2 linked regions of the Drosophila melanogaster genome follow. The protein of the gene in region 2 interacts with the protein of the main gene of each other region in a pairwise test. Each region holds a gene or a part of one and is shown on either strand. Other genes may lie near its edges.

Region 1 (3,532 bases), on a different chromosome or scaffold from region 2:
ACAGTGGCTTTCTGTCGCAGTTTAGCGAAAAGGATCTGCACAATCTGCCCAAGTACAAGCCCATCTCCCACTATCCGCAGTGCACGAATGACTTGTCGTTCTGGCTGCCCCAGGACATTGAGGTGGATGCCGGCTTCTCGCCGAACGACTTTTACGATCTAGTCCGCTCTGTAGCTGGTGATATGGTGGAGCAGGTTGGTCTTAGCTATCCCAAACGTATCATATGTTACGAGTATTTCTCATATACTTTACTTTTCTTACAGATCAGTCTGGTGGACAAGTTTAAGCACCCGAAAACGGGGAAATCGAGCGTGTGCTTCCGCATTGTTTATCGCCATATGGAGCGCACCTTAACCCAGGCGGAGGTCAACGAAATCCACAAGCAGATCGCTAGTGCGAGCGTGGATAGTTTCAATGTGCAAATACGTTAGTCATAGTCTAGTTCCGTTTCAATTCAAAACCAAAAAAGAAAAACACCAGTAAAGATAGCCAACAAAGTCAGGTATTTCATATGGTCTTGAATGATTTAATATTCTGTTCCACCCACTCGTTGGCGCTCTTCAAAAGCTTCGGATTCTCCACGAACTCCTGTTGCGGCTGATACGCTGTCTTGGCTCCGCTGCGCACGAATCCTGCCTCTCCTTTGTTGAGAACGCCAACGGAAGCCATTTCGTGCATGTTTACGGACTTGTTCTCACGGAAGCTTCTGATGCTCAGATGATCGAGTAGCCTATCCATATCCTCGGGTTTCGGTGGACACTCTAAGAAGCTGGCTATGCTGTTGATTGCACCTGGCAGATCAGCCAACATGTCTTCGTAGCGCAGAAAGAGTACATTGGACAAATGGGCATGCTCCCGCGCCTCCTTAACGTGACTGTAATAGGGCAGCCAGGGATCTGAAAGATAGTTGGTTAAGGATGGCAACTCCATCGAAGGATCACTTACTTAATCCGTTTTGGAAATAATGCCAGTAACGCTCAAAATCTCCGACGTATCCTTGGGTGCGGAAGAGTCTGTTCAAATGGTAGTAGGAAACTGCAACATCCTTGGGATCACGAACCACATAGATCACCTTGCACTTCTTTTCGAGAACACTAGGCGGCATTAGAGAAAAGGGGAAATGCGTTTTGATAAACCGTCGCTGCGAGCGTGGTATTTCGCTCAAAGCCTCGTAACCCGGTCGAGCTATCTTCTCAATGAACTCCAGAGCTTCAGCCGAGTCTCGGTTTTCCTCCTGCAGCTCTTCCTTAATTTTGGGATGCACAAAGAGCGGAAATCTAAGGGCGGTTGGAGTTCACTTAATTAAGATAGGATCGCGCGACAAGCACTCACTCAAAGAATGGAAAGCGTTCGGTTAGTGGTCGCTCCTGGGCATGCTCAAAATCCAGCCCATTGGCCACCAGCCAAATGAGCTCCTGCGTCCAAGTGGTGCCCGATCTGGGCACCGTGGCTATCCACACGTCATCCGGCCGTGCCTCAAAGTTGTAGTACCGCTCGGCCTCGTCCTTGTACTTGTGCGGAAAGAAGTAACCCTCCGATCCGACCTGAACGAAGCCAGTTCGCTCACCTGTTTTTTTTTTTTTATTTTTTATATACTAGGTGCATCACAAGCCATTTGCGCGCTATAAACATACCATGGAAGTGATCCAATAGCTCAGCATTGGTGGACTCCTCCACATCGCGAATTTCGTGTGGAAACTTGAGAGGCGTATTTTCCATTGCTCGCGCGATCAGTTGCCAGCGTTGACTGAAGAACCGCCCGTCATGAAAGCGTCTTGACCCCGCTTTCGGCCCAGAGAGAAAGTGTCAGCTGCTGGTGCTGGTGCTGGTGCTGGCCTGGCTAGTATGGCACTCCATTGCCGCTTGGCTAAGCTCAATTTAAATACGACTTCAGTTAATGTCTGTGTACTTGCTGACGCTGAATTTTCCCCAAAAGGTGTGGTTCCAAGCCATTAGTTAGCTCAGACGGCTTTTATTGGATCATAAACAGTGGCGATATAATGTTGTTGGAGTAAAATAAGCCTCAAAGTTATAACCTAAATAACCAGTTCTTAAACGTATATATATATATATTCTTGATTTGTATCGGCAGTTAGTCTCAGTTTTGAAGTCCAAAATTCTTTTTTTTTATAGAACATACCACTCATATATCATAAAACCCAAGCACCCATTAAAAGTCATAAATGACCATTGAATTGAAAAGGACTACTACTTTACGTGCACGACACAGACAATTTGATATAGAATTTCCTATAGTTTTTAGATTATTCGTTTAGCTCGACGTTGTCGAAGAGCCTGAGCAGCTCCTCTTCCTTGCGCTTGATGCGATCCTGGATGGTGGACACGGACTCTGATTTGGGCATAGAGTTTTGGACCCGGCTGAAGAAATCGTCCATGGACTTGAAAACGTTCTGATACTGATTATCATAGCGAGCGTACTGGTGCGTTGGTGGCTTCTTGGGCGCCCTCTTGGTCACGGCATTCCGGAACGAGAACTCCTTCAGTTCGTCCAGATGCAGTTCCTCCTGCTGCTCGTGAGCAGCAAACCTGCGCGATGATTGTCGCTCTCTTTCCTCCTTAAGCTCGAGCCGTTCCCGATCTATTTGATCGACCAGCTGCGCGGAGGGGCATACCATCTTCACCTCGCCAAGGATTAGCTTATGATCGAGGATCTCAGACTCATTCGTCTGGACGCCGGTCTCCAGTAGCTGCTGAGACTTGGACGCCTTCGATTCTGACTCCTCCTCGACATCCGGCAAAATATTGGAATCCTCTGGCACTGGCTGCCTATTCTTGCGGAAATTCGAGTTCAAACCCACGCCCGCCGGTTTGCTGGGCCAGAGACGATCCCGTGCCGCCTGTTTGGCCGCTTGCGACATCACACGCTGTTTCGTTGGCTTCCTGACTTCCGTTTCGGTGTCCTTGGCCAAGGGCACCACTAATCTGGACTTCTCATGTCCTCTCGCTCTCTCGAACTTCTGCTTGGCCGTCTGCCTGTTGCTGCTGGCCCTCAGCGAAGAGGCTACCGTGGGCTGGACCAGCCGAGAAGGTGGATTATGCTTGCCAAGGCGACGACCGGTCTGCTTCCAAGCCGCATCGGTTCCCCCATCGCCCGCTCCGCCGTGAACAGTTCGCCGTGTTCCCGCCGTCTGCGTCGATAGAGGTGCCGCTAACTTGGAACGCACTGTGGCCCCGGAGATGGTGTTGGGTCCTCCACCTCGGGGTGTTGAGCCCGCACTTTGCCCACTGCTCCTACCGGCTGAATGCATTACGTCAATGGGTTATTGGTATCCTGCGTTACTGCGGCAGTTGTATATACTTAAAATTTTTAGTTAGCTTTAATACTTTTATTTTTACAAGTTCAATTGTTTGAAATCGGTAACGAAAAACGAATGTACTAAGCCATAGAGCTTAAGGCCCGACACTGAAGTCGTTATAAAGGCCTACTTGGTATGGAATCATACTTATCTAAACCCTTACTCGAAATGCATTCAAAACCCAAAACCTACCCAAATAAAACCTAAGCCAAATC
Region 2 (4,580 bases):
CGGCGATCGGAGCAGCAGTGCCTCGGCGCAGCAGAAGCTACACCTGTTTGGCTCGCTGATCAGCCTGCACGAGTTCGAGGAGCCGCGGGCTTCGGATCCTTTCGGCAGCAGTTTCAACACGCTGAAGAGCGGCAATCTCATCTCTGATCTCAACGCCAGCTCGCTGTGGCTGGAGGACGAGTTCTACAAGCTGGGCTTTCGACCGCAGGACGAGATCACCACGGAGCTGTAACCGCATCACAAAACTCATACTCAAAACTTAATGCAAACTAAGTATTACCCCGGCTGGCGGCGCTAGCCGTTCGAGTCTAGCGCCAGTTCAGCTGGGGGAATGGAGCATTTGCGTGCACATTCCGACAGGCCATCATCGACTTCGACAAGCTAACTGGGAGGCCGTTTAGCCGGAGCCGCTAAATGCCCACGCTTAGAGCTTAGTTAGATCAGTTAAGCAAGCAAACTAGTCACGTAAAATCACAAACAAAACCATCAACACACAACGATGCCGAGGAGAAGGAGCTAATGCAAATGCAAATGGAAATCGCGTGGAAATGAATTTAGTTTTATGGATTTTACAAAAATCGCAACAATCATGTAACGAACAATATTCAATATACACACTATAGAAATACTATTCAGATAATAACTAAGATGATTAGCAGTATAAACGCGATACTTATAGCTATAGCTTATGTAGACAGAGATTATAAACCTTAGCGAATACGAAATGGATAATAAAATCGTGTGCCTTAGGATTGTAAAATATGTAACAATTTGTATTATTAACCAGGCGCCGTCATCCGACCAAGTCAGCCAACGCTAAGGCTCCTCGTACTTCCAGAGTATGTCGGGTTCCTCCTTGAGCTTCAGCTCGCCATGTCACGTGTCTTCTGTAATTGTTTCCGTTGCGGCTACGCGCTCGGGCGCCGTTTTCCCCTCGCTGACCAGCGTGGATAGCTCATTCGCATCATAGCCGATCAATAGCTTCAAATCGCAGTCAAATTTGTATGCGAATCGCTTGCCGGACACCTTGGAGATCATATCCCCATCGTAATAGTAGCGGAGAGCCCTTGATAGCTTTTCGTAGTTCATAGCGGGTTTGTTTTTCTTCTCGCCCCAAAGGCGTGCCACTCGATCCGGGTCAGTGAGCTTAAATTCTCCCTCGGTGCCCACCCACTCAATAACGTCCGTGTGCTCGCAGTCGGTGAGTATTTCGAGTAGGAACTGCCATAGCTGCACTTGTCCATTATTCCCGGAACCGATGGTAGTGTAGTTTGATGGATTCATGGATGACGTAGTACTTTCAACGGCTGTGAACGAAGTAGATATTGTTAGCTCATGCTTTGGTGTAACATTCACACGTCTACTTACAATCAGAGCTCTTGACTGACTGATAGGATTTCCGCATAATCCGCTGTTCAAGCGAAAGGCTGCCCCCTGAATTGGTCGATATGGAATTGGCCGACATGATTCTTGGTTGCTTGGGCTTACGCTGCTCCTCCGCTCGTTTGTGCACTACGGACACGAAATTACATTCTTTTAGCAGCTGGAGGTGGGTCCAGAAGATGTTGCCTGGATCACGGGGCAGCTTCTGATTGAATTCCTCGTGCGTCATTGCGCAGAGTTCCTGGCCATTCATTTGCCAGTCGCTCATGTTGATGCCAACTAGTTCGAACTGCTTGACGGCCCACTCCAGCCAGTACGTCACGTGTGCGTGTGTCCATTCGTTGGCCGCCTCGGGTATCTTCAGGCGTATTTGTTCTCGCTTAAACTTGCTGTCCAGGACCCAATTCAAGACTGGCTTGACATCCTTGCCCTCGACGGATTCCTCTTCGGAGTCTTCCTTGTGCATGCGCTTGAGTGGGGTTTTGATGGGGCTTTCGCTGGAGGAACTCTTCTGGCTGGCCGTTTCCGGCGGCGAGAGCTGGCCCACCACCTCCTCGGCCAAGGCAGCCAGTGCGGCCTCCGTGGGCTTCAGGACGTCGGCGATGTTAATGCGCTTGCGAATAGTTTGTATCTGCACGTTGATCTGGACCAGGCCTTCTCCCTTGACGCATTGGTCCACGAGATTCTTGTGCGATTCCAGCTGCAGGAGAGTGGGGGCTTAGGTAAACATTTTATTACGCCGCAGATAGACTCACCTCCTGCGCGTCCTGCAGCCAAAACGTGTAGTAATTCAGGCACACTCCTATCTTTTGCTCAACAAGTGATCTGTGGGTAGAAATGAGGGTTATTTGCATGACTAATGGGGGCCAGTCTTCGCCAGACTCACTTGAGCATGCTGAGCGGCTCCCGGATGTCCATGTGCACGATGATGATGTCGTCCGGCTCCGCCTCCGTCTCCACATCGATGCTATCCTCGAACATTTCGCTGGCAATCACTTCTTCTGCAAATTGTTTACAATTAATAATTCGGTGTAACAACAGGTGCGTCCCAATTGGGAAATGGCATCATTCCACTTACCCAGGGCACCGCCAACGCTGAGGCGGCGTATTAGCTCGTCCGACAAGTCATTGCTGCTGTTCATCGCGGCTTAAAATCGCAAATAACTGCCTATATTAACAAAATGTTTTTAACAAATTTGTCTCGTGGATTTATTGTTGCATCTTCAGTGTGACCGTGTACGTCGGGTGTGGCAATACCGAATAATACTAAGTGGCGTTGGTACAGGGCTGCATAGTCACTGGCCAGTATTGCCACCAATTCTATCAGATTTCAAAACTCTGGCGGTTCTTTTAAAAGTGATAAAAGTTTCGAAAAAATGTAAATATGAATGTAAGTTAGCAAGTCTGAAATACAATATTTGCTTTAATGATGAAAAAACTTAATAGCATCATATATATTTAAAGAAAAACATCAATTGTTATTTAGTTTTAAAAGAATACATGATTTTGTTATAGTTTTTACTGGCAAATATTTTGCCAGTTTTGAACTATTTTCAAGTTCCCTTTTCCTGTGTGGAAATTCATTGATCAAAAATTTCTTTCATCACCAGCTATTAATATTTTGAGCCTAACGATCTATAAAAATTAGCAATCTGGTGACAAAATGTGTGCTCGCCCCCTCAAGTGATTTCCTAGAAATGCCATCGAAATTAATTGAGGAATTCAATTCGCAACAACAAGTCGATGCTTAAGACACCCACTTGTGGTTGAGTGGTTTGCTCTTCATGCGATATCTTTTCGCCACTTTCTTTCGCTGCAAGACTCAATTGGCCGACACAATTGGCCATGTTTGTGCGTCGGCCTGACTAGGAAGCACTTGGGTGTTCCCACAGGCAAGTGAAGTGGCCAAGTGCTGCTCATTTTCAGCTAATGCTGATTAAATGCCCCGTAACACGATCAGTGGGTCAAAACGGCGGGACAATGAATGCCAATTGTGCTATGGAGCAGAGGACAGCCTCAAGTGCACAGAGTACTTGTTAACACAAGCGTTTTTCCATGTACCATGTACCGAGATATGGACAAAGACGGCTCCCGGCCTGAATAGTCCGGAGTTGGGAGCATTACCTCATGCTGTTGACTCAGTTGGCATAGTAGATGAACGATATTTGCTTGCGAATATCTTGCTGATGACAATGTTTGATTTTGATTTCGGTATTAGCTATAAGTGATTCAATGTCTGCCACGAATGTTCTGGCACATCATCATCCCCATATTGTGCAACCTTGCAACTTCATTTTCCCCTTTCCGTTTCGTGTCCGAAAACGAGGGAAACTAACAAGCCAGAGTGCGGATTTTGTTTTATTTGGGGACTAACTCTGCTTTGTTTACTTGCCAAGCTGTTGACTAATATTAGCCAGCTGGTCAAATTCAGGCGCTTCAGGTCAGTTTTTTTTTTGGTTTCATTTTGCGTACTTTCCAGCCATTTGAAGTTGAGTCATTGTCAAAGTCGTCTCATTTGGATATTATTAGATGTGAGTGGTAGTGAAATTTCTATCTTTCTTTCTCACCACACAAACCCTTATTACTCATTATATGCTAATGAGGACTTATCTCATTGCACGTTAAGTATACGCCGCATTGACCTTCTGGCAGATAGAAATCTATGCAGACCGAAAATTGTCTAGGTCATGACACCCAGCTGCAATGGGGCAACAAACAGATGAACGAAACCAGCCCAATGACAACGTGGAAAACTCACTCAAAACCGTTAGCGTACATAAAACTATGCGCAGTCATTGTGGCGCCTTTGACTGCCAGAAATTCCCATATATTCGGCTGCCAAGAACCGTCGAAATAAAAACACAAAAAAAAAAAAACAAGAAAAATAAAGGAAAACAACCCCTTGGGGTTTTCGCCTCTGGATTATTTGTCCGCCGAGCGTTCAACTCCACGGAATTGCGTCACTGGATGGCTAGAATTAAATCAATAGGGACAACTCCCACGCTGAGCACCAAAGTGGAGCACCAGAGCCCGGGACTTGGAGAATTTGCATTTCCGTGGCCCATACTGAATGGCCAGTATTTGGGTCGTCTAAGGATTGCTATCGCTATCGCTATTGCTATTGCTGCAAGGACATTTCAAAGGCGGTCGGCGTTTTCGTTTCAGCTTTCTTGCTCTTCGTTTCATAATTTCTGGTT

The links.
Region 1: the proteins of Ets97D (region 2) and St4 interact in a two-hybrid assay, tested with the Drosophila melanogaster proteins (one large-scale study listed by BioGRID).

The regions. Positions count from the first base shown.
Region 1 is NT_033778.4:13,969,409-13,972,940, forward strand, and holds St4 (sulfotransferase 4), read right to left. Parts: upstream 1,856-3,532; 5' UTR 1,720-1,855; coding exon 1,635-1,719; intron 1,568-1,634; coding exon 1,333-1,567; intron 1,278-1,332; coding exon 946-1,277; intron 897-945; coding exon 508-896; 3' UTR 502-507; downstream 1-501. Other genes in the region: PheRS-m (Phenylalanyl-tRNA synthetase, mitochondrial), read left to right, coding at 1-194, 264-431; CG18568 (uncharacterized protein), read right to left, coding at 2,265-3,269.
Region 2 is NT_033777.3:26,910,236-26,914,815, forward strand, and holds Ets97D (Ets at 97D), read right to left. Parts: upstream 2,652-4,580; 5' UTR 2,526-2,651; coding exon 2,462-2,525; intron 2,385-2,461; coding exon 2,270-2,384; intron 2,209-2,269; coding exon 2,139-2,208; intron 2,084-2,138; coding exon 1,369-2,083; intron 1,308-1,368; coding exon 877-1,307; coding exon of another isoform or gene 817-876; 3' UTR 540-816; downstream 1-539. Other genes in the region: T48 (transcript 48), read left to right, coding at 1-232.